Alligator mississippiensis: one gene and its partners. The protein of the gene in region 2 interacts with the protein of the main gene of each other region in a pairwise test. Links are inferred from orthologs where the notes say so. Each region holds a gene or a part of one and is shown on either strand. Other genes may lie near its edges.

The links.
Region 1: the proteins of RBM17 (region 2) and DHX15 interact in binary tests that used the Homo sapiens proteins (3 or more experiments, as listed by UniProt). The link is inferred for Alligator mississippiensis from reciprocal best matches to the Homo sapiens genes RBM17 and DHX15.
Region 3: the proteins of RBM17 (region 2) and PPP1R12C interact in binary tests that used the Homo sapiens proteins (3 or more experiments, as listed by UniProt). The two-hybrid records come from large-scale screens. The link is inferred for Alligator mississippiensis from reciprocal best matches to the Homo sapiens genes RBM17 and PPP1R12C.
Region 4: the proteins of RBM17 (region 2) and U2SURP interact in binary tests that used the Homo sapiens proteins (3 or more experiments, as listed by UniProt). The link is inferred for Alligator mississippiensis from reciprocal best matches to the Homo sapiens genes RBM17 and U2SURP.

What each region holds. Positions count from the first base shown.
Region 1 is NC_081825.1:39,040,074-39,047,922, forward strand, and holds the start of DHX15 (ATP-dependent RNA helicase DHX15), read right to left. Parts: upstream 3,008-7,849; 5' UTR 2,930-3,007; coding exon 2,859-2,929; intron 1-2,858.
Region 2 is NC_081827.1:9,433,974-9,441,966, reverse strand, and holds the start of RBM17 (splicing factor 45), read right to left. Parts: upstream 3,003-7,993; 5' UTR 2,920-3,002; intron 2,211-2,919; exon of another isoform or gene 1,977-2,210; intron 1-1,976. UniProt on the Homo sapiens protein: Splice factor that binds to the single-stranded 3'AG at the exon/intron border and promotes its utilization in the second catalytic step. Involved in the regulation of alternative splicing and the utilization of cryptic splice sites.
Region 3 is NC_081828.1:39,232,969-39,240,084, forward strand, and holds the start of PPP1R12C (protein phosphatase 1 regulatory subunit 12C), read right to left. Parts: upstream 3,005-7,116; 5' UTR 2,990-3,004; coding exon 2,720-2,989; intron 1-2,719. Other genes in the region: TNNT1 (troponin T, slow skeletal muscle), read right to left, coding at 6,027-6,072, 6,997-7,037. UniProt on the Homo sapiens protein: Regulates myosin phosphatase activity.
Region 4 is NC_081830.1:56,731,743-56,739,357, reverse strand, and holds the start of U2SURP (U2 snRNP-associated SURP motif-containing protein), read right to left. Parts: upstream 3,012-7,615; 5' UTR 2,960-3,011; coding exon 2,915-2,959; intron 1-2,914.

The DNA of each region.
Region 1 (7,849 bases), on a different chromosome or scaffold from region 2:
GAGAAAAAAGAATAAACTAGAACTTGGGAAGCACATAAAAGAAACAAAAAGCAAAACCTCCAACATGCACACAAAAAATCCAAGCAAAGACACAAGGAAATCCAATGACCAAACACCAAAGTTAAAGCTATTTAAAAAGTTTAAGTACACCAAGAACAAGAGTAATCTAATAATGGCCCATTATGATTAAAGTACTCATGCAAAAGGCAGATGTCATCCTGGGCTGCCTTTTACCTGACTTTAAACTAACATGGCTAACTACCTCTTTATTCATAATTAGACATGGTAGTGAAGTGAATGATAATGCAAAAACGTAAACTGGTATTAAATCAGATGATGAAACACTTTCCACTGCAGCAATTACTTTGGATGACAACAAACAGCAGCTACTGAAGTGAGACATTTGAAATTAATAGATACAGGTCACCAGGCAATGTGCACCCAAGTAAGATGTCCAAAGGACTCTGTGGGCCCCTAATGTTGTTTTCAATATGGCTTGAAACACTGAGGAATCATAGAGAAGCAGGGCCAGGAGGGACATCCAGAGGCCATCTAGTCCATCCCTACCCAAACCATCTCACACAATCCATAATCTAAACTCTACATAAGATTACTGTCAACCCCAATGCAACAACACAGATCTAACATCCTAACCTGCCACAGGTAAAGCAGGGGAACCATGGAAGCCAATGTCCTGTTTCTGTGAAATGCTGTCAACATATGCACAACAGATCCTGGGGTAGAGGGTCATGGCCCTGTTACAGAAGAAGGCAAAAAACCCTGTAGTCCATACCAATCTGACCATCAGGTAAAATTCCTTACTGACCCCAAATATGACAGTCAGTTAGACCATGAGCGGAGGGGCTAGACCTTCTAGCCTGGAACCTCGGGCTTGGTCCCAGCAGAACTGGCACACCCTAGGAAGCTCCAAGAGACATATACATACATACATACATAAAGATGATCAAGGCAATTTTAAACCTGCCAACCCGACATCAAACTCAAGTAAAATAAATAGAACAGCCAATACACAACCCAAATTACAAATGAGAATTAAAAAAGGACAACACTATCATTTTTTACCTGACAAGTTTGGCTAATAAATGCAAAAGTGCTGATGTAATACACCAGGGATTTGTCCACCCAAGAAAGGTATTGCAAAATAAGCTCCAGTGTGACTGTAAACTGCACTAGCTGTTCCATGCCACTGCCTGTGTAAACCCTTGTAAAACATGATAATCCTATTTGCAGTGTAACTAACTCTACTTTTGAAGATGATCAACTGGGTACCAGTGTCCACTTTCATGTAATGCAAGTGGCATACAGAAAGTTGGTGCAAAAGAGTGCTCATGCAGAAAAGCCTTTAGACTTCTATAAGATACTTGAGTTGGTACTACTAACATTTACTACAAAATAAAATTAAATCAAACACACATTACATTGACTAAAAAAATTGCTAGGTGCCAAAATGTAATCATAACTGAGAATTCTCAAGCAGATGCATTCCTGGTGGACTTGCTAAGCGATTTATTCTAGGCTATTTTCGACCAGTGATCTGAAAGAAAAAAAGTTACCAGAGGCAGAGTTTGTGGATGACAGAGATCAAAGGAGTGATAAATAATGAAGAAAACAGGACACCGATTCAGAACATTTTGGATCTTTTTATAAGCTGGATTCAGGCAAACAATCCACATTCTAACACTGCCACACTTAAGGTGACATCTAGAAAACCAGGATTTAGGATATACCTCAAGATAAGAGATTATATAAGAAAGCAGAGACTCTCAACAAGACTTAGGAATCACAGTGGGACAACCCCACGAATATGAACTCCTAGTACTAGAGGGGGTTACTATGATCACTTGGGATGTCTAGGCAAGGAGTACTGTGGAGAAGACAAATTAGATTACCTTTCCATTGAGCGCCAGTACTACAAGTCAGTAAGAATGTTGAAAGAGAGGACGTTTTGGGGAAAGCGTCAGAAAACATGCCTTATGACAATTAAGTGAAGGAACCCAATCTGTTCAGTTGAACAAACGGAAGTTTCAAGGTGCAACTGGTTAGGGTCTAGAAATACTTACGCATGGAAACCAGGAACTTGGTAACAGGGCTCTTCGCTCTAGCAGAGAGGCATCGCCAAGCCATGGAAGCTGAGCGGATTCATCTGAGAAATGCTGTGTCCCTCCCCCACACCTCCCTTTTTAAATGCAGCAACACCACCACAACCCCATTTATCTCGGAGAACCAGCCTGGGCTGCATTTCCCATAACTAGACACTGTCAAGGATAGCGACTGGCTATTTCTCTAGAGGTGCCTTAGTTCAGGCACCAACTTTGAGTGAATGGAGTGAATTCAGGGAGGTCCCAAATGCCCCATACTGGAGGAGACGAGAAGCGCACTGGGGCTCGGGGCCACACAACAAGAGCAAGCGGCCGAGCCCGAGCAGGGCACGAGGAGGCCGCCAAGGGCGCAGGGAAGCGTTTCCACTCCTCTCCTGAGGCAAGAGCGACCCGGCCCGACCCGCGGCAAGGAGGCGGTCGCCCGCTGCGGCCCGGAAAGTGCGGCGAAGCCCGTCGCGTCGCTGGGCCCGGGGCAGCCGAGGCCGAGCCCCCGTTTCCCCCTCAGCGCTGGCCCGGGGCCCGGCCGGCTGCTCCCGCCGACACAGGCGCAGCGACCACCCAAGGCAGCGCGAGGGGGATCTGCCGCCAGCCGGGCAGAGCGGGGGGGAGCGCCGCCCCCTCCCCCCCGCGGAGCGCGGGCGAAGCCGCAGAGCCGGGAGGAGGCGCCGCGCGGCTCCGGGCCCGGGCGGATCAGGCGTGAGGCCGGGTCCCCACACGCCGCGGCACCGCTGCCCTCACCCGTCGGAGGCGGCGCGCTTCTTGCTGGAACTGTAGTCGTCCCCCAGGTCTAGGCGGTGGCGCTTGGACATGGCGGCGGCTCCGCTCCTCAGGCGGCGGCGGCGGCGGCAGCAGCAGCAGCAGCAGCCGCGCCGCGAGGCCAGAAACAGCGACTAAAATGGCGGCCGGAAGGAAGCGCCCGGGCGGCGCGAGACACTGGAGCTGGCGGCGCGCGCGGGGGGGACGGTGCGCAGAGCTGGCGCCGGCCGGGAACTCGGCCCCGCCGCGCGGGTTCCGCCCGCCCCGCCACTCGCCGGGGCCGAGGGAGAGCGGGCGGGCCCGGAGCATGGCCCGGCTCCTTGAGGGCCGCCAGGACTGGGCCTCGGCTGCAGCTGCCCGCCCGTGCCCCAGAGGGAGGTGGGGGTCAAGCCGCATGGACGGCACGTGCAGCGCAGGCCCGACCTGCTTGTCCCTGGGCCGAGGCCTCTGCACTCTCCTAGGGCAGCCCGTGGAAGAGCCCAGGGAAGCGGGTGATGCTCCTCGGCTCCTAAGCAGGGTCTCAAAGGGGGCACGGAGCAGAGCCCGGCACCCCCAGGAGAACACGGGCCCTGCAACACACAGCAAAGCCCCGCAGGGCGCCTGGGCTCGGGTCCCAGGGCCCCACTGGGCAGGGCCCAGTCCCTGACTCCGCCCGTGTCCCTCCGAGCGGTGAGAAGGCGGTGTCGCTGCAAGCGTAGGTCACGCGGACTGCAAAGCGCCTAGGGAGCCAGGAAGGCCTGCAGAGCGCCCCCGGGCTAGGCACAGCCCTGACAGCGAAGCTGCGGGGTGTGCTGCACCAGACGGCACCCACCTCCCAGCTGTGGAGCATCTGTACTGAGAAAGACAGCTTTGCAGTGTAACTGGGGGCTTTGGGCTTTTGCCAGTGCAGCTGTGTTGGCAAAAGACTGTGCCTCCAAGCCACCAGGGCAAATCCTGTATTAGCATGGCCCAAGAGACAGACTAAAGCCACTGTTACGTTGGCATGACTCCCCATGGGGACGGTCATATTGCTGAATAAGGGGAGTTATGCCTGTCTGGAACTGATAAATAACACCCTATAGAGATATCTTTTCAAGAAGTTCTTCAGGCCTGGGATTGTCTTCCACTATGAACTAGGGGGGACTCAGGGGTCTTAAGCATAACTGTAATAGAAAATTATTTGTATTTGAAGATATCAAATTAAATAAAATACTGTAAGTAACACTGTCCCGGGGGGTGCTGGTCACTGCTCTGCTCGGCTCCCCCACTTGGAACACTTTTTACTAACCTATGGGCTTGAATTTAGACGCTCAAGATTCTGAGTTTCTATTAAGAGTTATTGTCTAGCAAACTTTCAAGCTTACAGACAACACTGGGATATCTATTTCTGGGGTCATTGGATCTTGGCTTTACGTGGATGTGACATAATTCTAAATTTTAACTAACCAACCAAAGGCCATATTAGCATTATTTATTACTTGCGCTGCATTAGTTACACTGTGGTAGTACATAAAGGTCCCTACTCCCTTGTATTTGTGTAGATTCCTAATAATAAGCATACCGCTTTAGCCCAAACAGTTTACAATCTGAAGTCTTCATCCTGAAATTCTTTAAACCATGAAGCCTTCAGAACCTTATCTGCCTGAAAACATTGAAGTAATTAAACACATGCAATTTTTCACAGGATCAGGCCTAAATACAAGACTTGAGACAGTAACCAGGCAGAAAGATAGGGAGGACCAGGTAACAATGAGACTATTGGTAAGATGCTACTACTGACCAGAAGCACAAATGATGCAGCAGATATGCCCAAAACTGAGCATATTCTATGCATCCTCATCTTCCAAAGGAAGCTGATAAAAAAAAAAAAAAATTAAAAATACTTTGACCTACATGCATCTATATATGCACACACTTTAAAATGACTTAAACTTCAGTTTTTCCATTTCACTTTATTCTCTCTTTTTTTTTTTTAAGAATAGAGTCATACCCAAAATAAAGCCATTTTTCATCCTAATCAAAGATTGATTAGTCAGCTTCATAACCCTTTCAATAAATTTCTAGCAAGTTTCAAATTAACACAAGGACAATGAAGTGCTATAGTGGGTTGTTTCCATGGCAAGAAAATGCTTAACCCAAACCAAAACTCTTTACATTTAAAACTATTAAAACGTTTATAACCATCAAAAAAGCCCTGAAAGTTTGGTTTAAACTGTTACTTCAGTTCTGAAATGCAGCTCTGGAGACTAAAGTTCCCACAATAAACCATCTGTAAGAGATTTGTATCAAGTTGATGTAGAACTGCAGGCTGAATCTGTGTGATTATATTACTTTAAGCACCCTGGCTCCCCTGGTATTGGATACAAATGTCTTATTGTTTATTTAAAATATGCTAATTTGCGAGAGTGAAGTCTAAGAAATAGATCCAAAGAAGGACCAAGATGCTTAAACCCAAAACAACCCCACTTGGTGGCTGCTTACCTTACTAGGCACCTCCCTATTTAATTGGAAAGTCCTGTAAGCGCTTAAAATTATGCCTCTGAGCATGGGCACAGATCCAATCTGAGCAAAACACCACTTACACTTGCCTTCCCCTGATCAGAATATAGGAGCTGGATGCCTACATGCCTGGAAGGTCCCAATCTGCTAGGCCATACTCAGAGCACAGGCAATGCATACCAAGCAAACCAACCTCCTTCACCAAATGCAGTTGAGTACTTTATTTTTAAAACATGGCATGAGAAGGAAAAAAATACCAACATTTTATATGATAGCATAGCAGAGCATTTACCCAGGAAGTAAAAGAGTAAGTTCAAATCTTTCTTCAGCCTGAGGGTGATCAGACTCACTTTTCCCATCTCCAAACAGATCACTTCAATGACCAGATATCAGCAGTAGGGTAACATGGGGCACTAGCCAAGGGCAGTGCCTAAAAGGAGTCAGGAGGGGGGAACACTGGAATGGAGCTGGGGGGTACAGTACTCATCATCCCCTCATATGCAGTTGCTCTGGTTCCAACAGCAAGGGGGCAGAGCAGCAGCAATGGGGTTGATAGGATATGGTACAAAGGCAGTAAGTAGCCAGCAGAAACAGGGTGCTGCAGGAGAGAAAGGGAAGCATCAGAGGTGGTTAACTTGCCCCTTTTGCCTCCCCCCCTCCCAGCAAACTTCTGGCTGCTGCCCTTCACCACATGGTACCATGGCCCAGGGTGTAGAACTAGCTAGTTATTTCTCTCTGTATCAGCTAGGCTGGGTGGAAACCTTCTCCACCTACCTTGTTGAAGCTGGGCCACCATGCAGAGGAATGAAATGTTTGGGAGGCCACTAAGAGATTGTCATTTGGAAATGCCTTGGGGTTTGTCTGTACTGTATCTGTAGCAGGCCTTAGGGAGGGCAGGACTGAGCACATCCAACCAACCACTCGGGTCTACAGAGATGCCCCAAAGCTTGTCTGTCCACAAAGCTGACATAATCAGAGCCTGCTCTTAAGCCTTCTGTCTCTAGCAGATCTAACACCTTGTACCGGGGACTAGCCCAGTGCAGCATCACTGGCAGACTTCCAGATCAGGAGCTGGTCATTGGACTCAGGTGGAGAATGAATATTCAACCATGTCTCCCACAAGACCTATTCCAGACCAGCCCTAGTCTTCCATTATACTGTATAGGGAACCAACATTCCTAACACTGGGTTCTGGATTCCATTCTATGCTCAGCACCTTAACAATCAGGGCTGCTATATGCAATTCCTTTCTTGGATCTAGCTCTAACTGAATAAGTGGACCCTACACAAAATCCCTACAGGATTGTCATATCAACAGAGGAAATTACTTTCAGAGGCAAGCACCTCTATCAAGAATATGACAACAAACCCACACGTTCAAATATATTAGCAAAAAAGCGAATCGACTGATGTCAACAAGTGCAGCGACGAGAGCAGCAGTTTCTTGTATGTATTTACAGCAACTAAATTGTCAAACTTTACCAATAAGAATACTTAACACTTTGAATTGTTCCAGGAAATAAATAGGAAACCAGCCTACTGTTTAAAGCAAAGATGTCATGTGCTCCCTACAGTCCGTTTTACCAAGCACTGCAGCTTGGGCACAACCGAAGGCTTGTGAGTCATCTTCAAAAGATAACTCCATATACTGTTCATCATTGCAATTTAACCTAGAGATCAGAAAGCCTGGATGATATTGTCAATGTTTTACATTTGGGGGGGGGGGGGGGGGCAGATAGCAATTGCTGTGGGAAAATTCAGTCCTTGCTATCAACACCACCCAGAACACCAGAAGCAAATACAGGTCAAGAAGGACTCCTCAGCAGCATACATCATGAGAATACATTTCTCAGTAATGGGGAAAGAAGCTATGTAACCAGCCAACTGATAGCACCTCTCTCTTAGGTAGATTACATTTCAAACATAGCCAGATCCATCTCAGTCAAGCTCTTGGGTTCACTAGATACTATGCAGGCCTGACAAGGAGCAGCAGAAAAAGTTACAATAGTTGACCACAAAGCTCTAGTCTAACCTCCTCTTCTTGCAAGCTGTGAAGCAAGTACCTTCTAATTTGTGCACAAGAAAACTCCAAAAGTGGTTAAGTTTATTAGCAAGAAAAGTCAAAACTGTATTTTAAAAAGAAAGTATTTTCACTTTCTGAAGAGCAATTCAACAATACAACCATACAGGGCAGACTTTGCCATTGATTCCATTATACTAGAAACTAAGCATGAACTCCTGCTTCCAAATTTTGGCAGCAACTTGCCCAATATCTTTAAATCTCTTTACCTGGAAAAAAGGGCTTACTCCCACCTACCTCTCAAAGACCTTGTAAAAATAAGTATTTGTCAAGTACTTTGAGAGCCTTAGATATAAAATACCACATAAGTGAAAAGTATTATCACTATAAAACCACCCTACTAAATTTACATGTTGTCCTGTGAACTTTTATAGGAATTTATGGGTAGAATCAGGCTTGCTTAATGCCATCTTAA
Region 2 (7,993 bases):
GTCTGAAAGTTAAGGATATGCCGCAGAAATATGTCAGAACCACTGAGGACATATATTGCAAATGTACAACGAAAGTGAGGAGCAGTTTGAGAGAGACAGAGTTTTGAGGTGAAGATGGGCATTCATCAAGGGTCAGCTTTGAGTCCGTTCCTATTTGCGGTCACGATGGATGTGTTTACTGAACAAATAAGAAGGAGACCTCCGTGGAACATGATGTTTGTGGACAACATGGTCATTTGCGCCAAGAGTTTAGAGGAAATGCAAGCTGGTTTGGACCAATGGAAAGAAGTACAAGAGGGAAGAGGAATGAAGATGAGTTGATCCAAAACGGAATACATTTACTGTGATTTCTCTGAGATACCTGATGTTGCAAATGTGATAATCGATGAGAAACATGTTCGAAAAGTTAACAAGTTCAAGTATGTGAGGTCAACCGGTCAGCAGGGTTAGATGAAGAGTTGAACCACTGAGTAACAGCAGGGTGGACAAACTGGAAATTGGTGACAAGACTATTATGTGACAGGAGATTATCAGTGGAGCTGAAGAGGAAAGTCTACAAGACGTCCATGTGCCCAGTACTATTGTACGGAGTGAAGACAGCCCATGAAGAAAACACAAGAAAGGCGACTAAATGTGACAGAGGTGAGACTGCGCAGACGGATGGGTGGAGTGACGGAGATGGATAAAGTGAAGAATTCTTACATCAGAGGATTGGTGAAGGTAGCGGAGGCATCTAAGAAAGTACAAGAGAGAAGACTGGCATGGTACGGGTATGTTCAAAGGAGTCCAGAAGAATACGTAGGAATAAAGTTATCAGAATGGTGCTACCAGGGAGAAGGGGAAGAGGAAGGCCAAAGATGAGATAGAGAGAGATACTGCAGAAGAACGTGAGAGGAGTTGGAAGAAGAAAATAAGTATGACCGAAGTCAGTGGAGAGCCAGGATCTGCAAAAGCAACCTGTTTAGACAGGACAAGCAAGGGAAGAAGATAGATATAGACAAATATATATACAACTATTTTAAAGCTGGCTCCTCCTATTACTAATCAGAACTTCCTACATCTGCCGGCCTGGTGGACAAGCTTATATTCCACCCTGATCCCACGACCCTCCAGGGGACCTCAGCTACTGGCTCCTCCACAGAGCGATTGCTATGGGCATGTATCTGGTGCAGTTTATGGATGCCCCCAGCTCCTGCCCCTTCTGCGATCAGAGGGAGACCCTGGTACGTGCCTGCCTGAAGAGTGCCAGGCTGCAGCGCCCTCTAGGACTTCCTGCTGAGGCTCTGGCTGCACTACTCCTGCATCGTTTCACTTATGCTCTCCCTATCCACAGCCCCATTAAGTCCCGGGACCCTCATGGTCAACCTCCCCCTGCCCTTAGCCAAATTAGCGATCTATCTGATCAGGAAGGAGGATCTGGGTGGGAGACCCCCCAGGGACCATGCAGCCGGTTTCCTGTCCCTCGTCTATTCACATCTCCGGGCAGAGTTTCACTGGTCCACTCACCACTGGCTCCTTGGACTCATTCGAGGCACTGTCCCACGTCCCCCTCAGTGCACTCGTTTTTAACCTACAACCTTCACTCCCATCCCTGCTTTGCTTTTTGTCCCATGTCATCAACTGACATGTATCCAATAGCCCCCTCTATTAGCAAGGGGCACTAACTGTTGCTTTGTGGGCCTAAGGCCCATGTCCACAAAACGTGTCAAATAGGCCTGTCCAGGAAAGAGGCTCCAGCTGGGGGTCTCAACAGGGACTCTGGGGCCATCCTCCTGTCCCTTATCTAATCACGTCTGCGGGCATTTTCACCAGATGGCATCTACTGACTCCTTACACATGTTCGAGGGCCGGTGGGCGCTGGCTGATGAGCTCTGCTCGGGGTCCCCCATCCTTGGTGCTCTCGTTATCCAACTCTGACCCCCGCTCCTGTCCCCGCTCTCATTATAAGTTGTCCCAAGGAATCAGTGGATGCATACCGAGGGGCCGCCGGCCCTCCAACGAGTCCAAGGGGCTAGCGGATGCTGCCCGATGAAACTCTGCCTGCAGACGCGAGTTGAACCAGGACAGCAAAGGAGCCCGGCAGTCCCCGACGGCTTCCCTGGCTGGAGCCTCCTTCCTGGTCAAACAGACGTCCCGCTTGGCTAGGGCCAGGAGGAGGCTGACCAGGAGGTCCTGCGGCTCGGCGGGGCTGCAGACGGGGAGCGCATAACCGAAAAGGTGCAGGCCCTGTTTCTTCTGGGCATCCCTGCAGAGGGACCCAGCACGGCCACATGACACCGGTCCTGGTAGCTCTTCCTGCCTCTCCTCTCCTCTCGCAGCCTCCAGCCAGCCGCTTCTTCCCTGCTTGCAACCAGCTCGTCTCCACGGTCCCCCCAACCCTGCGCTGCCCCCGCCCAATGCAGGCCTGGCGACAATGCCCTCCCCCCCCCCCCCCCCACACACACACACACACACACAGCACAACCCCCTACAGCCGCGCCCCCACAATGGGACACCCTCCCCCCCTGGAACCCCCCTTCCCCCCCATGGAACCCCCCCACGGGACGCCCCTCCCCCCCATGGAACCCCCCACGCAGGACGCCCCTCCCCCCTATGGAACCCCCCCCACGGGACGCCCCTCCCCCCCATGGAACCCCCCACGCAGGACGCTCCTCCCCCCCATGGAACCCTCCACGGGACGCCCCTCCCCCCATGGGACCCCCTCCTCCACAATGGGGGCGCCCCTCCCCCCTTCTCTGGCCCCGCCCCCGCCGTGAGAGCCCCTCCCCCACGTTTAACCCGGGCGGACACCCCGTCCCGCCGCGCACAACCCGACCCCACTGCTTCCCCCCTTCCCAGCCCGGCGCGGGAAGCCCCGGCCTGGTGCGGCCTAAAGCCTCGGCCTCGATTAGCGACGCGGGCCGGGCCCAGGACACTCACTCGCCGCCGCCATGAACGAAGCGCCGCGAGCCCCGCGCCTGCGCAGTCGCCCGCCCGCCCCTACGTAAACGGCGCAGCGCACGGCGGGAAGGGGCGTGGCTGAGGGGAGCTACGCAAACTGCGTCCGACTTGGTGGCAGGGCAGAGCGGTGTTGGAGCAAGCTGCGCAAGTAGCGGGAGAGTTACGCCGCAAGGCTGGGCCTCGTAAAGCAGGAGCTGTGCAAACTTCGTAGGCGAGAAGAGGAGGGGCGGAAATGTCGTTACATCACCATAGAGAGCGCGGCTCCGGGAGAGAGAGTATCCGCAGAGGGGTGGCGTCTGCCCCCTAGTGGCAGGGAGGGGGTACTGCGCGCTGCGCCCCAGGGGAGCCCTGTAGGGTGGACACAGCCATAGGCTGGTGGGAATGATGAAATCAGGGGTTAATTACAATTAGAATGTTAATGGCCGTTAGAATGTTAATTTGCATTCTAATTGCAATTGGAAAACCCTTTGCACACTAAAGGTAGGGCTCACTTCCCCCAGCCCTCCCTGGGTGACACCCACATGCCTGGGTTTCAGGCTTGGGAGCATTTTGGTCCTGAACTGGTCCCCAACGAAAACTGGCTGCAGGGCCCTCCTTGCAGGTGTCAGAGCCCTTCTCTACAAGAACAAGTGCAAAGTCCTGCACTTAGGACAGAGCAGTCCCACGCACCAGTGCAGGCTGGGGTTGATGGGCTGGGCAGCAGCTCTGCAGAAAGGACCTGGGGGTGACTGGACAACGAGCTGAATATGAGCCAGCAGCGTGCCCTTGTTGCCAAGAAAGCTAACAGCATCCCGGGCTGCATTGGTAGAAGTGATGCCAGCAGGTCAAGGGAAGTGATTCTTCCCCTCTATGCAGCACTGGGGAGGCCACATCTGGAGTACTAGGTCCAGTTTTGGGCCCCCCCACTACAGAAAGGATGTGGACAAATTGGAGAGAGTCCAGTAGAGGACAACAAAATGGTTAGGGGGCTTGCGAGGAAAGGCTGAGAGAGCTGGGTTTATTTAGTTTGCAGAATAGAAGACGGAGAGGTGATTTAATAGCATCCTTCGATTACCTGCAGGGAGGCTGCAAAAAGGATGGAGCTGGACTGTAGTGGCAGATGACAGAACAAGGAGCAACGGGCTCAATTTGCAGCAAGGGAAGTTGAGGTTAGAAAGTCTTTCCTCATATCTCCCTGGAAGGGCAGTAAAGCACTGGAACAGGCTTTCCAGAGAGGTGGTGGGATCTCTGTCCTAGGAGGTTTTTAAGACCTGGCTAGACAGAGCTTTGGCTGGGATGATGTAGTTGGGGCTGGTCCTGCTCTGAGCAGGCGGTTGGACTAGATGTGACCTCCTGAGGTCCCTTCAACCCTCATGTTCTGTGATTCTTTGATTCTGTATTTCCCCCTGCTCCCCGTAGGAAGCAAGACTAGCATTGGGACGGGACTGAAGGTAATGCACATTCAAATCTCTGAAAAGGTGGATTTGCAAAGCTGAGGTAGAGAGCCCTCTACCATCTCAGCCCCTGGGTTGTAACATCCCCTGTTCTTTACATGGAGCCAAACCCACCAGGCATTGGGAACAGAGCGGGGCTGCCCCCTGTGAACGAGTGAGCCCCACTGATGCTCACAGGCACCATTCCCTCACCTGCACCGCAGGGCAGGCACCCTGCCTTTCCCAGCGCCAATTCATAGTTGCAACTAGCTTGGCACCTTTGGCAGTATCATGTTAATGCAAGAGTGGATATCTCTGTGCCCCCTGAGTCACCAGTTCCTCTGTACTTTGTGCACCCACCCCAAGGAGACAGAGGAAAAGCCAGCCTGTGATTGTGCCCGTTGCATGTGTGTAATCATGTCACCCCCTCTGCGGACATCGCAGCCCTTCTCCCTGCTCTCAGCAGGAAGCAGGGATTGCATTGGGAAGGGGCTAAAGGTAAAAAAGGAGAAGATGCATCGCTCAGGTACCTGCCAGCCATGCTTGTATAGGGGAAGGTATCTGGAAGCCACCCCTCTGGGGAAAGGAGAAGCAACCTGCAGGCGGGGGGGGGAGCAGGGTCCTAGCTAATCACAAACATAAATAATAAACCAAAATAATGAATGGAGGACAAGAGAAAGAAAGAAAACCAAGCGTTACGATTTTCCATGAGCATGTTAGTGCCAAACAAGAGCCCTGGGTTTTTGCTCATTTCTTTTGTTCATAGAACAAGATGCAACAACACCTCTTCTAGCCAACTCCCCGCTGCTAGTTCTCAAGAAAAAGCAGGAGCACTGTGCATATAGAGCAGGGAAGGGCACAATGCAGCCCATGGGCCAGATGCAGCCCACCAGGCCATTCTCTCCGGCCCGCGGAGCCCCTAAAAATTTAGAAAATTAATATTTACCTGCCCCTGGCTGTCTGTCATGCGGCCCTCGATGGCTTCCCAAAACTCAGTAAGCGGCCCTCCCCCCAAAATAATTGCCCACCCCTGATATAGAGTCTTCCATCTAATCCCATCTCTCTATTTCACATGACATTTTAGGATTGCAATGTTCATACAACATTCATAGTTTAATATCTAAATTTGATAGCCATTTGACTGTTTCAGGGGTAGCTGCACGGATTGATTTTAGATCGCCATTAAATGATCGAAGAGGGCAATCATTCACAATGTGTCACACCGTCTGAAAACTCACACCACAGTCTCAATCCAGTGATTCTTATCCAGGGTACCGCGAGAGTCTTTCAAGGGTGCCCCTAGGTGCCATGCGGTTTTAGTACTGTTAGCATACAAACATAATTCACAAGATAAGCTCAGAAATTTCAAATAGGGATCCATTGTTTTGAAAACACTCAGATCTGCTGTGGTCTTTTTGAGTTCTTTGCAATAGAAAAATACTGAAAGCAGCTTTTCTGTAGTCAAAAACTAGCGAAAACTAAGAGCTGGCATTTTCCGAGGGGTGCCTTGAGTCTAACAAGGGGTGCTTTGAGTCTAAAAAGGTTGAAAACCATTGATCCAATCCATTCACTAATAAACTGATTGTTCAGTTCAACTCTTTAAAAAAGACCTGAAACCAAACAGCCTAACTTTTTGCCCCAGAGCACAGTACTGTAGTTGTGCACACTCCATGTTTATCCCTTGTTTGAGTGATACCAATGCTCTCTCTGCCTATCTATCTAGTCTTTGGGTATGCAACAGCTCTTTTATTAATGTGTTCGTACAGAATTTAGCACTATGAGGTCCTGCCCCAGGACTGGGGCTCCCAGGGGCTACCCCTATTCAAAGCATCAGTATGGAAATATAACAGGAATATAATGTTACAGCATCTGAAAAGTCCCCAGCCAGATATTATACAAAAGCTGCAGTTTTCAGACAAAATTCTCACTTTAATTCTCATTCCCGATTCTCATTCCCGATCTCCCATCGGGAATTTTGCTGCATTTAGAGTCTCTTAACTTTTTTTTACCCCTCCTCCCACCAAATCTGAGCTGTTAAAAATATTTAGGGACTGCTGAAATCTGAGAGGATTTCTCCTAATATTTTGCCTGCTGTATATGTAAAAGCGGGCATCCCACAGAAGGGAGAATCGTTCTCCCTTCTCTCTTCGGGCCCCACATGTTGTGGTGCTTTGCAACCGTTTTGTAAGACCTGCTGAGACAAGAAGGGAACTCTTACTGCTGTTTGCACAGTATGGAATTGAAAGCATAAACCGGCATTTGCTTGAACATCTGAAGCAGTTTAAAAAAAAAACCAAAAACGTGTTGCCTTTTACAGAAGATCATGTGGCTCAATGAAACTTTGAGAACTGGGGAAGGCTCGGCCAATATTCAAAGCAGGGAAGAGGTGAAATAGAGAAACAAACTGGCTGCCTGCCTGATCTGATATTGTCTTCATGGGTCTGGGGTGGGGGGGTTATCTCAATATCCTCCATAGTTGCTCTGCTGTTGTGTTTCAATTTTTTTCCCCCCACTCAAACCTTGAAAACTGATGAATGGTCAGGGTTGGGGGGAAGTACACAGCCCTTGTTGGCTACTACAAAACAAAGCAAATCTCCTACCCACCAAGTATGTGACGTGGGTACTTTCATAGACATTAGATTTCATAGACATTCGGGCTGGAAGGGATCTCGGAAGATCTCCGAGTCCAGCCCCCAGGATTATACCCAAAGACTAGATATGGGTATGTCAGCCTCAGGAGCAGGAGGGATATCAGAGGCTCCATCATCACCTGCAACACTCACGTTGCTTTAAAATGTCTCCTTACCCCCAGAAGGCTCCAGGAGCAGATGCAGGATGTTGAAAAAGGGGCACAGGAGCAGCACCCCCTACTCCCAGCCTCCTCCCCACCAATACCAGTGAGACCAGACCGTGCCATGAGATCGGCAATTAGGGACCATTTTAAGTCCCCCAAAACAGTTAAGCATTCCCCCCCACCATACTCTTTGCTCAGAGCATGTCCCTTGCCACACCTGCCACTGCTGCTGTATATGCAATCCTGGGGGTGAAGGGAGCTCCTGTCTCCCTCCAGCTGGGCTGCATGGGGTCTGGGCTCAGCCTGGGACAGTGGTGGCAGTGGGAAGTTTCCCCTCCTTGCATCTGCTCCCAGACTGGTGGGGAACACCCAGGGGAACCAGGCAGGGAGAGGGAGCCCACCTGCCACCACCACTATTACTTTCCCAGACTGAACCCAAGTCCAGCATGGCCCAACTGGAGCTGGGTCGGAGCTCTCCTCACCCCCAGGACAGCAAGGACAGGGGCAGCAGCAGGCAGGGGAGGGGGAAATGGGAGGGGAGGGTACAACCTCAGCTTGGAGGGGAAAGGAGGGGGCAATTCTGATCTTCAGGACTTAAAGAAGTCCCCAACTGCTGCTCCTGCCCCATGGTCAGAAAGTGGGGGTGGGGGTGCAGCCCCTCTGGATCTGCCCGAGAAGGCTCCAATAACTCAGTGCATTGCATCATAAAAAAGTACAGCTCCAATGGACCCCAGGAGGTCATCTAGTTTAATCCCGTGCTCAAGGCAGGATCATCCCTATATAAAGCATCATAGGCAAGTATTTGTCCAGCTATTTGCTTTTAAAACCTTTGTGAACAATCCCCATG
Region 3 (7,116 bases), on a different chromosome or scaffold from region 2:
GGACAACTTCCCTCCCTCACACCCACCCACCACAGACCAAGACCTGACCACCTCATTATGCAGCAGCAAATGAGCATGAGACGGGACTGAGCTGGAGCCAGCTGACGCTGGCACTCCCCCCCTCCACTGCTTGACACAAGAGGAGCTGTCCCACTCCCTAACCCCCTGAGTAAGCCTGCCCCCAGCCCTGAGGTCAGACTGGGGTCAGTGCCCAGAAGAGAAGAAAGTCCCTGCCACAAGCTGCCCCTAACAGGCCATGCTAGGCATGTAACTGATGGGTTCTGGTTTCCAACAAATTTCCCTTGCATGGGGGAGGCTGGCAGCCAGGACACCTGGGTTCTATCCCCGCTCTGGAAGAGGAATGCATCCAGTTCCATGAGCTGCCTACCCTGACTCTGGACTCCTCTCTGCTTTCAGAGCTGGGCTTTGAACCCAGGCATCCTGATCCTCTCAGTAGGCAGACCTGCTGGCTGGTTTCCACCCCTGCTGCTCTGATCCCCCAGTCCCACCTGGGTGGACTCTGGCAAACAGAAACAAAGGCTGCCCTAGCGATGTGGGGAATTGAGCAGCACGGACCCTGGGGGAGCTGATGCCCCTTGGCAGGGTGCAGGGCTGGGCATGCCCATACAGAGCATAATGGCTCCAGCTGCCTTGATGTAGCAGCACTGTCTGAGCTGGAGGCCTTTCCCTCCTCCCTGCCCCCACCATACTGTTTCCTTTGCCAGAAGCCTCAGCGCCAGGACTCCCTCCCCAGATCTGCTGCCACTTAGTTACCCCCCTCAGCCCTCCTTGCCCACCCTCCATCTGCACCTGCCCCTGGCACCCAGTTCCCCTTCCTTATTCCCACCCCACCACCCACAGCACACACCCTCTTCTGTAACTACCCCTCCTTCCAAGTGCCCCACTCCTGCTCCACGCCCCCCCAGCTCCTGAGGATACTTCCCCTCCAGCATCTGGCACTCCCCATCCCTGCCTCTGGTCCCCAACTGCCTAACCTTAGCCTCTTCACCCCCTTGCTCCTGACCCTACCAGCATGACAAGCCCCTGCCAAGCCCTACCCCCTTGCTTCCCAGATGCACCCTTCCCATGGGGGCTCTTTCTACCCTCCACCCCTCCCCCAAGGTTCCCCTCTGCCTAGATACAATTGGCACCCCCCGAACTGGAGGGATTAGAGGACAAGAGACAACCAGGGCTTCCGCTTGCCAAGGAGCAGCAGTCAGGTGTTCCCTCCCACTGCCCCAACACCCCTGACCCCAACAACTCCCTCCTCCTATGCTTCCCACCCCTCAACTGGCTACCCCTTCCTCCTCACTCCCTGCCCCAACAGCTCCCTACAACTACTCATCCCCCTCCCCTCAGGGCTTGAGCTTGGCAGTGGGGTGCCACCATTCACAACAGCAGTCACTTGCTCCCCACCCCCAACAACCTCAAGGACCCCTTCTGCAACCACCCCTCCTCCTCCTATACCCCAGTACTGTCCCTCTAGCCCTCAGCTCCCCCCAAACCCTTCTTTTCCTACCACCCCCCCCACCCAAAACTGCCCGTTCCTCCTCCCTCTGTTGCCCCTCACCTCCTCCCTCCCCAGCAGCTATCCCAATCCCCTCTCCAGGGCCTGAGCTCACCAGAGGGGATCCCACTTCTAAAAGCACCAAACACTTGTTCCCCCATGCTACCCCCAACCCCAAGGACTCCCCCCAGCAACTACCCCACCCACCTTCCCATAGCTTGAGCTCACCAGAGGGGATCCCACTGCTAACAGCAGCAGCCACTTTGCCCCCACACTACCCCCTCTTCCTACCCCAACTGCTCTCAGCTCCCCTAATAACTGTAACCTCTTCCTACCCCAAGGGGCCTTCCTTCAACCCCCAGCAATGGCCTCTTCCTCCTAGCCCCAGTACTGCCCCCCCCCCGATCACCCTTCTGCCCCAACAGCTCCTTCTTCCTCCCCTAGCACCTTCCTCCTCCTCCCCCAGGCAGCTACCCCACTGCCCTCCCCAGGCCTTGATTTCACAGAGAAAATCCTAGTGCTGACACCGCCAGTTACTTCCACCCCCTCCTGCCTCCAACACCCCTTACCCTGACCCCAAGGACCCCTCCTCCTACCCCCACTCTCCCACGCTCACCTAGTAACTGTGTCCTCTTCCTAACCTCCCAGCAATGACCCCCACATGGCTTGACCTCACCAGGAAGATCCCACTGCTCACACCATCAGCTTCTCCCACCCCAGTGTCCCCAGATCCTCTAGTAACTACCCCCTCCTCCCACCCTACCCACCAGCAATGACCCCAACCCCCAAAGCAACGACCTCCTCCCCCTCCTGCTGCTCCTGGCCCTTCTTCCTTCCCCAGCCTCAACCACCACACCCCACTCAGCAACTACTCCACCCCCTCCCCAGAGCTGGCCCTCACCATGGGGATCCCACTACTCACACCACCACCAGCTTGCCCCCACCCCCTGCCTCCAGCATCCCCCCTGCCCCCAGCTCCTCTAGGAACTGCCCCCACCCCCAGCAATGGCCCCCCTCCCCAGGCCTTCCTCTCCCTGCAGGGCAGAAATCCCACAGTCCCCCACCCATTCACTGCCTCCAATGCTCCCATCTCCAACCCTACTTACTCCAGCCCCTAGGACCTGCCCCTGCCCTCCAGCAACGACCCCACCACCCTCCCTAGGCGTTCCTCTCCCTGGGAGGCAGCAATCCCACTGCCCCCCGCCCGCGCACCTGGTGCAGGGCGCTGATGCCGTCGGCGTTGGTGCCGTCGATGAGCCCGGGCCCGGGGCCGTCGGGCTGGGGCTCGGCCCCCCCCCGTAGCATGGCGGCCGCCTCGGCCAGCTCCCCCGCGGCGCAGGCGGCCAGGAACTCGGCGGCGCGCTCGAAGCGGACGGCGCGGGCGCGGGGCGGGCGCGGGGGGCCGGCCGGCGCCGCCGCCTCCCACTGCCGCAGCTGCTCGCGCCGCCGGGCCTGGGCCGCGGCTGCCGCCTCGGCCGCCATCGCCCCCCGGCCCCCGCCCGGCTTCCTGCCTCGGCAGCCAGCGGGGGCGCCGGAAGCGGGGGGCGGGGCGCCATGGAAACGAGCGGGCCCGCCCCCGGCGCGGGGCAGGCCGGGAAAAGCAGCCGTGGGGCATGCCGGGAGGCACGGGGCGTCACGGGAAAGTGAGTCCCTGCCCGGGCATGCTAGAAGAGCCGGGGAGGAAGGAGTGCGTCATGGGGACAGGAGTCCTTGTCCCCTATTGCACAAAGCCGCCGTCGCGGGGCATGCTGGGAGAGGAGATGTGAGCCACTAGTGGTGTGAGAATGGGATCCCCGTGGGGAGGGCCAGCTCTGGGGAGGAGGTGGAGTAGTTGCTGGGCGTGGTGTGGGGGTTGAGGCTGGGGAAGGAAGAAGCGCCAGGAGCAGCAGGAGGGGTCCCTCCAGAGCGCCCCGCCCGGGGGGCAGGACTGTGTTCAGGTTCTGGGAGCAGAGGTCTGGGCTCTGCCGATGGGACTGCATTTCCCAGGGCCCTCCGCGGAGCCGCGTTTCCCGTTCGCCGCGGAAAAACGAGGGTTTTTGCTCTGTCAAGGAGGAAACGGTGGGGGGGCGCGGCAGGGCAGGGGGTTGGGGTTAGGGTTAGCGTGGCGGGGCAGCCGGGAGATGCTGCTCAGGGGGGGCCGCGCCGCTCGGGAGCCCGAGCCCGGGCTGCCATGTCACAGGCGTCCCCTCCCTCGTACCGCCCGCAAGAATTGGAGCGGCCGCAGCTGCAGCGCTCCGGCGCGGTCAGGACGGGGGCGACAGGGGCTGTGAGTCGGGAGGGAGGGGCATTGGTAGAGCCCGGGGGGATGGGAGGATTGCCCCCCGCCCCCCAGCAATCAGACCCCCCTCCCCAGTTGCCCTATGTTTGGACCTGGAAATATGGTAACCATAGTTATGAATTCCTCCTTCGCAGTGCATCATGGGAAAGGGAGTCCCCTTCTCTTCCTTTCTCGTCTCTTCCCACCTGCTGCAGGGCATCATGGGCAGTGCAGTTTCCCCCTCCTCCCTATCCCTGTAATGCTGAGGCAGGGGGAGATGGGGTGTGACGCAGTGTATCTTGGGAAATTGAGTCCCTTGCCTAGGTACCGAGCATCATTGGCGTGGGGAGTCACTCGTGCAATGTACGAAACAGTCCCTCCCCCCTCATCCATCCACTGCAGGGTGTGGTGGGACTTGCCCAGAGCATCATGAGAGACTGAGCGGGTGTGAGTCACAGCAGTACACCATGGGAAAGGGAGTCCCTTCTTGCCCACTGCTGTGGGGCATTATGGGAAATGGAATCCCTTTACCCCACACCTGTTGGGGCATCACAGGAGAGGGTGCACAGCAGACGCATGGCACTTATGGATTCTCTCACCCTGCCCATGGGGCATCTTGGAAAATGGAGTTTGCCTCTCCCCCCACCCACCAGCTGCCCCTGGCCTCTGCAAAGCATGCTGGAAATGGAGTCCCCAGGCAATTTGGCCATGGGGCCTTAGGGTAGCAGAGCCCTGCCCACTGCCACTCCCCCTCACTCTGATGTCCCATTGTATCATGGGAGCAGAGCCCCCAACCCAGAAGCAACCTGGGGAATGGTGTGTGCTGGCCTGCTGCATCATGAGAATGGAGTCCCCCACCCCAGAATTATCATGGGAAATAGAGTCCAGCTGGCTCAGAGGTGAGCAAAATGCAGCCTGCAGGCCACATGCAGCTTACCAGGCCATTCTGTCTGGCCTGCAGGGCCCCTAAAAAATTTAGAAAATTAATATTTATCTGCCCCTGGCTGCCTGTCATGTGGCCCTCAATGGCTTTCCAAAACTCAGTAAGCAGCCCTCCGCCTGAAATAATTAGCCTCCCCTGAGCTGGAGTCTGAGTCTAGGAAACCTCCCATCCTTGGGCACCTTAGTAGGCTGCAGCTTTGTGGCTCCACATTGCTTTAGGCTGATTCCTAGTGCACCGTCCCTGTCCCACTGGCAATAGCCTGTATTCTCCCCTGTCACCTTCCAGCATCTCCTACTGCCAGCAGCCTTGGCCCCCAGATCTTAGCATTCATGGGAAACAAAGCAAAACTCCTCTCCCACTCCCTGGGACTGATGGACATGCAGTGCCTGCCTGAGTCTACAGGGAGTCTGGGCCCATTGCTGAACGAGCTGGGCCAAGCCCTGTGTATCTGAACAAGGGGCTTATTCAAAGTCCTGATCCCTCTGTATGTTACTGCGGTGCCAGTGCCCTGGTGGGCTAGAGAGGGCATGTGAGGCTGACCTGTGAAGAGCTGCCTTTACTCTGACACTGCCTTTTGGTGGCAGTTATTGAATCCCTGGGGACAGCACAAGCCTTTGTTTCCTTCAACCCTCCAACTGGTGATCCTAGGAACTGCCTAACAGAGCATCAGACTTCCATGTATTAAGGGAAGGGTGGCAGTGGAGCCCACCTGATCCCTCCCACCCTGTTGTTGAAGCCTAGAGATCTGCCACCAAGTTGCAGTCAGCTCCCAAGTGGGTAGGGCTTATTTTAGGGGGACAGGCCCTGCTGTGTGGTGGGAGGAGGGGAGCAATTGGAGGTAGGCAGCTGGAAGCAGCTTAAATCTGTGTGGGGGCAGAAGTGTGTGTGATGGACAGCAGGGGAGCCATGCCTGTGGTAGAGGGGAGGTTTGGAGGGGAATTATTTGGGGGGGGGGGGTGATCTAGAAGACAGTTAAGTGTCAGGGGCCCATCTGCCTAGGGGGGGCTCTGTGTAAAGCCACACACACCCCTCCCCCTCTCAATATGCATACACAATTCCCTCCCTTGCTCCACAAACCAGATCGAGGCTCCATCCATGAGCCAAGGGCAAGGGATATGTTTTATTACATGGCCCAGGTAGTTGGACACAGGACACAGCTCACACCAGTTTCCTGATTTTCCAGATCACACAGGGCAGAATCTCCATGCCAGCAGGAACCAGGATGGGTGGAAGTCAAGGTGGGGATCATCTGGTTGGATACAGGAGGGTGGATGCAGGAGGGAAGGGTGGCAGGGGCGATCTGCCTGAGGGCCTGGCGTTTATTTCCAGCGGCCTCCGAAACGGCCCTTGCCAGGCACCTTTTTGCTATGGAGAGAAAGGGGAGGGTTAGAACAGACCTCAAGGCCCCCAGATTCCTGTCCCCCAAACATACCATTGCCCCAACCCAACCCTGGGCCCAGCTGATCTCAGCATCTTCCCCAGAGCAAGCCAGTTTTGGTGTCAAAACCCTCTGGCCTCACCAAGCTCATCTCAGTATCAGCCCATCTCCTCCTTCCCTCATGGGGAAAAAGGGTTGGGGGATGGAGGAGGTGGTTGGTCTCTGGCCTGGGTGGTCCCACACACAACAGTGTGTCCTTGTTGTGAGCATACTGGGCTGCATTAGGAGAAGTGCAGCCAAGAGATCAAGAGAAGCGATTCTTCCCCTCTGTTCAGCACTGCTGAGGCCACATCCGGAGTACTGTGTCCAGTTTTGTGGCCCCCACTACAGAAAGCATGTGGACAAATTGGAGAGAGTCCAGTGGAGGGCAACAAAAATGGTGAGGGGGCTGAGGGAATTCATGTATATGAGGAGAGGTTGAGGGAACTGGGTTTATTTAGTCTGGAGAAGAGAAGACTGAGTGGGGATTTAATAGTAGCTTTCATCTACCTGAAGGGGGTTCAAAAGAGGATGGAGCTGGACTGTTCTCAGTGGTAGCAGATGACAGAAAAAGGAGCAATGGGCTCAAGTTGCAGCAAGAGAAGTTTAGGTTAGATATTAGGAAGAACTTTCCCACTAGGAGGGTAGTAAAGCACTGAAACAGATTACCCAGAGAGGTTGTGGACTCTCCATCCTTGGAGTTTTTTAAGACCTGGCTAGACAAAGCCTTCACTGGGATGATCTAGTTGGGGACGGTCCTGCTTTGAGTAGGGGGTTGGACTAGATGACCTACTGAGGTCCTTTCCAACCCTCATTTTCTATGATTCTATACTCTCCCATAGAGAGGAAACAGCTACATTGCAACTACTCACAATTTCTGAGCGTGGCTGATGCGGTTGTACAGGACATTTATCTGCGGGGGGGAAAGAATGCAAGATGCATGGGATTGCCTCACCAAGCCTGCCCCATCCCCAGAGCCAGTCCCTTCTCAC
Region 4 (7,615 bases), on a different chromosome or scaffold from region 2:
ACAGCTCATCCGGACGGCGCAGAGAGGAGTGGCTCCCACCGCTGTGCACACCCTGGGAGTGGACAGGAGGGGCATGTGCCCTCAGATCTGCACAGGCGGGGTGGGCTGCAGCTTCAGGCTGGGGCCAGGGCTGCATTTGGGGCAGGAAGCAGCAGCAGCGCTGGGAAGAGCATTATGCGGGGGCTGTATCCCTCCCAAAATTCACCACAGCACCCTCCCAGTGCCACCACCACCCACCCCAAGCACAACCCTGGTCCAACCCCCACCCCTCCTCAAAGGGAAGAACCCAGTGCAGTCCTGGCCCCAGCCTGCAGCTGCAGCCCAACCCACCCACACCCCATGCAGATCTGGGGGCACGCACTCCCCCCCACCCTCCTGGGGTGCACGCAATGACAGGAGCCACCCCCCCCCACTCAAGCCCCGGACGAGCCGCAGCTCCGTCCCACACCCACACTGCAGCACTTGCCCCAGCCCCACTCCCTCCCTCACTGCAGGGGCCACTGATCTGCACCCCTATGCCCCTTCCCTCCCCTCCCCTTGCACCACAACAGACTTAACAGCTGCACACAGCTCTCCATGCTGCCAGGCTGCGCTGTGGCTACATGCATGTATGGGCATTTATCAGCCAAATTATTGGCCTCATCAGGCCAATTTCCGATACACTCAATTTTCTTTATATCAGTGCTGATCCAATACGGGATCGATGTATTGGTGCACCTCTATAAATAATACATCCGTGGGTGGATCTCAGATTTTGAAGGGGGGGGGGGGGGGCAGGGAGAGTGCAAGTGATATGGTACATCATCCCATAAAACAGCATATATTTTTTTCCAATTTCCAAGTAAAAACAAATGCAACTGAATCACTGAGGGGCTGACTACCAGATCCAAATTGGGCAGGCATCTGGTGCTGGGTAGTAGGTATACCTGTTACACTCTGATCAAATGGAACTCCTCCCTGTACTCCTACACAAGTCCCCCAGACACTCCACCATGGCCCCAAAGTGTCCCACACTGCCCTTTATATGCTCCACCTGCCACCTCAAATTCCCCCTGCCTCTACTCTGTCCCCCATTATCCCACATATTTCCATATTCAGCCCCATCCTATCAAACCCCAAAACCATCAGATCCCACAATCCCCCCTCATGCCCCACAGAGGCCTATGCTACTCAATCCCCTCACTGCTCCTATGAATACAGTATACCCTACACCAGGGAGTGGGCAATTATTTCAGGCGGACGGCCGCTTACTGAGTATTGGCAAACCACCAAGGGCTGTATGACAGGCAGCCAGGGGCAGATAAATATTAATTTTCTAATTTTTTCAGGGGCCCCCTCGGTCCAGATAGAATGGCCAGGTGGGCCACATTTTCCCACCCCTGCCGTACACTGTGGATACTAAATGGGTCAAGGGACTAAAGATTGGCAGAAATCAAGTAGATAATAATAAGCTATGAAATCTATAGACTCTCTCACTCTACCTGAATAGAAATTCAGCTGTCCCTACCAGGCAGTTTGTTTTAAACTTTCAGTGGATCAGGAATCAAATGGGGATGTGACTGTACTCCTTCCCCCACCCAATCCACTCATGAATATATCCTTATTTACTTCCTTCATGCCACTCATTTTATTTTATGAACCTTTATCATATCCACTCAGTCATCTTTTGTCTACGCTGAAAAGTGCAAGCACATTTAATCTTTGCTTATTAAAAAAAACAAAACTTCTCTATGCTCTTGATCATCCTTATCTAATCTCATACATACAGCACAATTGAGGCTTGCCTTCAGCCAGGTATAAAAAGGAAACCAAATTAGGAATATTCATCTCAAGTAACTACTGGTTTAAAGCTCTCAGTCACAAAATTATCCCTAGGCAGGTATAAATATTTCCAAAATGGGAAATGGGGCTCCATATATGAATCAAGTTAAGAACCTGCATAAGTGTTTGCAGTGCTGAAGACATAATATTTACAATAAGATAGTGGTTCTTTCTACCACAAAAATATCAACTCCAAGCATTCCTAGAGCTGTAGCTGAAAAGGCTGCAGCATCAACCCTGCAGATGTAACAGAGCACCACAGGGGAACAGGATCTGTGCAGACACTGCTGTACAACTCGGGCTAACTGAAGGAGCCAGGGAAAAAAACGACCCCTGGAACCATAAGACTGGAAGATCTGGAAGATGGGGAGAGGTACTGCCCAGCCACCTCCATACAGAACTAGGTCTAATCCTTGCGGCTCCACAACAGTCTCTCTCTCTCATGGAAATAAAGAACATTTAAGTTAGGCTTCCCTGGGAAAAGAACCATCACAGAGAGCAGAGTGACAATGCAGCACAAAACCGAGGAGCAGTTTCCAGCCCAGTGCTGGCCAGAGCTGCAGACACATAATTGACGAGTTTGGGGGGGAAGAGATCTTTAAATGAAGCCCTACAAGGCTCTGCAGAGACCGAGCACTCAGCCAAGCCAAGGCATGGCGAGATCTGCGGCTAGAAGAGGAGGCTCCTCGTCTCCAAGAGCCCTTCCACAGGGCCCGGCCAACCCCGGGCAGCCCGTGCGCGCCGCGCGCTCCCAGCACGACGCGTGAGTGGCGGGGGGAGAAGCGACAAGCTCCCCCCCCTCCTCAGCCGGGGCCTGCCGAGGTTCAAACGCCCCACACGGGCATCGAAGGCCCCAGCCGCTGCAGCGGGAAGAGCCGCGGGCACCGGCCTCCAGTAGGCCCCGGCGCGCCCGGCAGCAGCAGGGCCGGGGAAGGGGGCCAGAGCAGGCCGCGCAGCCTGCGCACCCGCCTCCCCGCGCCATGCTTGCTCCGGCCGGCACTTGCCACTACCACGGCCCGGCCCGGCCCGGCCCACCCCCTGCCGCGGGCCCCGAGCGACGGTGCCGCGTGCGCGCCCCTGAGGGCGGCCTCACCTTCCCGCTGCCTTTCTGCGAACCGCCTGGCGCCCTGTCCGCCATCTTGGCTCTCTCCCTCGGCCAGCCCTGGCGGCCGGAATCGAGCGCCGACTTCACCGATTGAAGAGGAGAGCGAGGAAGCCTCCCGCCTGGGGGGAGGGGCGGCGAGCCGATGACCGAGCTAGCGATCGGGGAGGCGGGGCCGGCGCTGCGGCCCTGTCACGCCCGGCGGCCGCAGGCTCTGCGGTTCTGTAGGGCGCTGCTCCTTTCGCAGCCCCGCGGTAACGCATAGGCAAACTAGGCACATGCCTAGGGCCCTAAGAAGCGGCCCAGTTGTGATCATTTTACATATTATAATTATTGAGTGGGAAAAAAACATTTATACAGTATAAATATAATATAAATAAATAATATACATATACCGTATTAAGTAGGGTCCATGAGTTTGTTTGCCCAGGGACTGCAAAAGGGTTCATCTGGCACTGTGCATGAGGGAGTCCCCGTGTTTCCCCACCTCCCCCCCCAGCTGGCAGGGTCCAGGGCTCAAGAGATGTGGCCCAGCAGCGGGTACAGGAGACTTGCCCCCCAGGGCTGGGGTTAAGCACCTGCTTTCCCTGCACCATACATCTAGTTTACCACAGCAGGTGCGACTGTCACATCCAAGGAAAACACTTAAAAGGCAGCAGTGCTGCAGAAGCGGCCTGCCCAGCTCCCCTCCCAGCCCGGGGCCACGGGAGGAATGTGACGTGGGCACCTGGGGGGCCTTTGAGCTGCTCTGTGGGCATCTCTGCTCCCAAACCATGAGGGATCCCAAGCCAGGGATCCTGGGCAACATGCCCAGGTCTGCAATTTAAGGATTTTTTTTTTTTAAGCAGTCTGTCAGATCTCAACCATGGGGTTTTTTTGTAATGCTTCATCAACAGAGCTAGGCAGGTCAGGCTGTCGTAGCTGCCTTGTTCCCATTCTTAGCTCCAGCTTTGTTTTATAGTCCTGGCCTGTCTCATTTCAAAGCTTTTTAATTTCTTTATAAAACCTCCAGGCTGAATCTTAATTTAAGAGTGTTCTGCTCTGGAACAGTTCTTTTGCTATAGAATTACATGAGGGTTAAATCCAGAGAGGCCACAGCTCTGCTACCAGATCAGTATTCTGATGTTCCTCTATGGCAAAAACATGCCTCCTAGAAGGGAAAGTCAGCTGTGGTGCTGATTTGGCACCAGAGGCAAAAGGAATCCTATACTGATGGATTATTGATGGCAATTTTTTTCTTTGTCACCCAAACAAAGAATTATGAGACAGTATAGACAGTATAAGACTCTATAGACAGTAATATGAGACTGCTTCCCCACTGAGATCTCCACCTTGTGACACTTATGCCATATACTACATCAAGTAAGGACCAAATCTAAGCACCTTGCAAATAAAATAACTTTGTATAAATCACTGCAAGGAACTGAAACATCATTGTAGACCACAGAGTAATAATACAGTCCCAGCAGAACTATGATCTACAGTGGCAGCTCTCAGGATGCTCCCTGGACACATTAGATACTGACCAGTGGATCTGAATAGTTGCTGAATCTATTGGTTGGCCTTTCAGCACAGGCTACATCATACATTAGAATCACTGTGGGTCCCCAGATATGAGGCTTTATATATTTATATACTTATATATTGGAGGAGTAATGCTATAATTTTGGTACTAGCATACAAGACTAGAGGATCAGGCCCCAGGAGTATAGGCTTCTGGTGCTGGTAGTGGTGTTACAAACTAAAGAAAGGCAGTAAGTTATACTGTAGGACTTTTACCAACTGATAGATTCCTTCCTGATTTAGTTTCCAGTGCTGGGAGCTGGTTTCCATGTGGGTCCCCAAACTAGCTTGACATAATTGCTTTGAGACGGGGTACTGTTTCCTGAAACTGGCACTTAGCAGCTCTTTCTGCCTATAATACGTATAGCACTGTGAGGTGAGATCCCCAGTGAGTCAGAATGCTGTCAGAATGGATGTAGGACACTGAGCTGAGGCTGGAACATGACATGAGAATTCTGGAAGTACTTTTTTGAAAGCCAGATGCAACAAGAGATTTAGGAGAGAAATCTATAGGAAAGTGTGGAAAGAAAATCAGGTAGGTGGTGCCATGAGTGGGTAAAAAAGACCATATGGGTTCAAAAAGTAGGAGGAAAAATGGAAGCAAATTGAGATGATTGTAAAGGATAGAATAAACAGAAAGGAGAGGACTGAGCAAAAGGGAAATGAGAGAGTCCCAGAATAAACAAAGAAGGTGAGGGAGAGACATTGCATGAATGCCTTTATTACCTCTAGTTTAAATAACTGCTCTGGGGATCTTTCTGGGGTTGACTAAAAAGGCTGCTAAAAATCTTCACCTTATGAAGAACATAGCCCAACATCTGAAGGAGGTGTGCTAGTGACAACATATCAGATTACTACTCCACATTGCACTGGAGGCTAATTACCCTTTGGGTATAGAAAGCCCCCACAGGTGCCCACGTCGCATTCCTCCCATGGCCCCAGGCTGCGAGGGGAGCTGGGCAGACCACTTCTGCAGCACTGCTACCTTTTAAGTGTTTTCCTTGGATGGGGCAGGGAAAGCAGGCATAACCCAGCAAGGGCGAGTCTCCTGTACCCCCTGCTTGGCCACATACCCTTTGGGTATAAGCTATAAGCCTGGAAGATCTGGAAGATGGGGAGAGGTACTGCCCAGCCACCTCCATACAGAATTAGGTCTAATCCTTGCGGCTCCACAACAGTCTCTCTCTCTCTCATGGAAATAAAGAACATTTAAGTTAGGCTTCCCTGGGAAAAGAACCATCACAGACAGCAGAGTGACAATGCAGCACAAAACCGAGGAGCAGTTTCCAGCCCAGTGCTGGTGAGAGCTGCAGCCACATAATCGACAAGTTTGGGGGGGAAAAAAAGAGATCTTTAAATGAGGCCCTACAAGGCTCTGCAGAAACCGAGCACTCAGCCAAGCCAAGACATGGCGAGATCTGCGGCTAGAAGAGGAAGCTCCTCATCTCCAGGAGCCCTTCCACGGGGCCTGGCTGACCCCAGGCAGCCCGTACACATCCCGCACCCCCAACATGATGTGTGTGTGGCAGGGGGAGAAGCAACAAGCTCCCCCCCTCCTCAGCCGGGGCCTGCCGAGGTTCAAACGCCCCATACAGGCATCGAAGGCCCCAGCCGCTGCAGCAGGAGGAGCCACGGGTTTAGACGGTTACTAACTGCTCTTCATGATATAAACCCCAGCTCAGTAAAAAACTGAATCACATTTTTAAGTCCTATTTAAGTCAATAGAGATGGTTACACTTACATCATCATCATCATTAGGTGTTTTCTTGATATACTGTGTTCTAATATGTAAGGATAAAATTAAATGTGAGCCAAAAGTAGTGCCCCTTCCTGAAGGCAGAGGTGGGAAGCCTGTAATGTATTGCCAGGACCGTTATGCCAAAGGATTTATTGTTAATTATGGTATGGCCTGTGATGGGTGTTAACATTGTATTATGGATGAGGGCAGTCAGACAAAGTTCAAGGATGACAAGATTTTGAGAAGACTGACGTCAACAGTATAGAGGGTAGGCAACCTTTGGAAGCTACTGCCATAGGTTCTCTACCACTACATTTTGGAGACTGTTACTTGCATCATCCCCATGTGACCTTGTAACCAGAAAAAAGCTGCTATGTTTCTGACCTGAAAGAACCTTTCAGATTGACTTTCAAATGTATTCTCTGCTCCATTCTCCTCCTTTCTCAGTCCCTCTCCAACCCCAAATTAATACACATGCATTACTTTTGCCCTTTCCCTCCATTTATATGGATTAAATGAAGATTTTCCTCTACCTCCAGTAAAAGTCAACTGTTAACAAATGGCATTTCCATAGATAATTATTATTAAAATATCAAATTGTGTAAAATTATTAACAGGTATATTTTCTATGATTGGAAAATAAGACGACAGCAAAATTGCAGATAGTAAATTAAAAGCCTTGTAACAGGGAGCCCCCTTTGTACACTACCCTTCTGGGCATTGATATAACAGAAGCCCCTTCTTGCCTGCACCCTCTTTCCCTTTTTGTGCATTTCTTTTTCCTTCTAAGTATTGGCAGAGACCTAGCACATTCATTGCATGGGTGTGGCAAGGCTCCGAGCAAGCCAGAAAGCTGAAGTGGCTTTCTGTAGGAGAAACCTACAGACTACATCTATGTATCAGTTGAGCTGTGTCACTAAAGAAAACAAAAGAACTAAAATATCCACTTCAAAGCAAAGCCTGTAAGAGACAAGAAAAGCCAAGGTGCACTGAAAGCATGACTGTAAATATATCCTGGTAAACACATTTTTCCTTTGATTAAGACCTATTTCCCAAAGCAAACTTCCCATATCTGTCTAAAGTTTTATGCTAAATCAGTCTGCATGAGTGCATCTAACCCCAGTGGCCGTTGATCCTCGCTACCTCATCTTGCATTTTTCTATATTTCTCACAGTACATTTTTATATTTCATGTCTCATCTTTGCCCTGGCATTTTGTATTTTATATTTTCTACCTTTTAACTTTTAACAAATGTATTCTTTAGAGTAAGTCATACCTTGTATTACTAAAATTATTATTATAAGAATGCACTGGAATTGTAATAACTGGAATTGTATTGCTGTATTGGGCTGGTCCCCTGAGTGAATGCGGGTATGGATGAATCAGTAGGT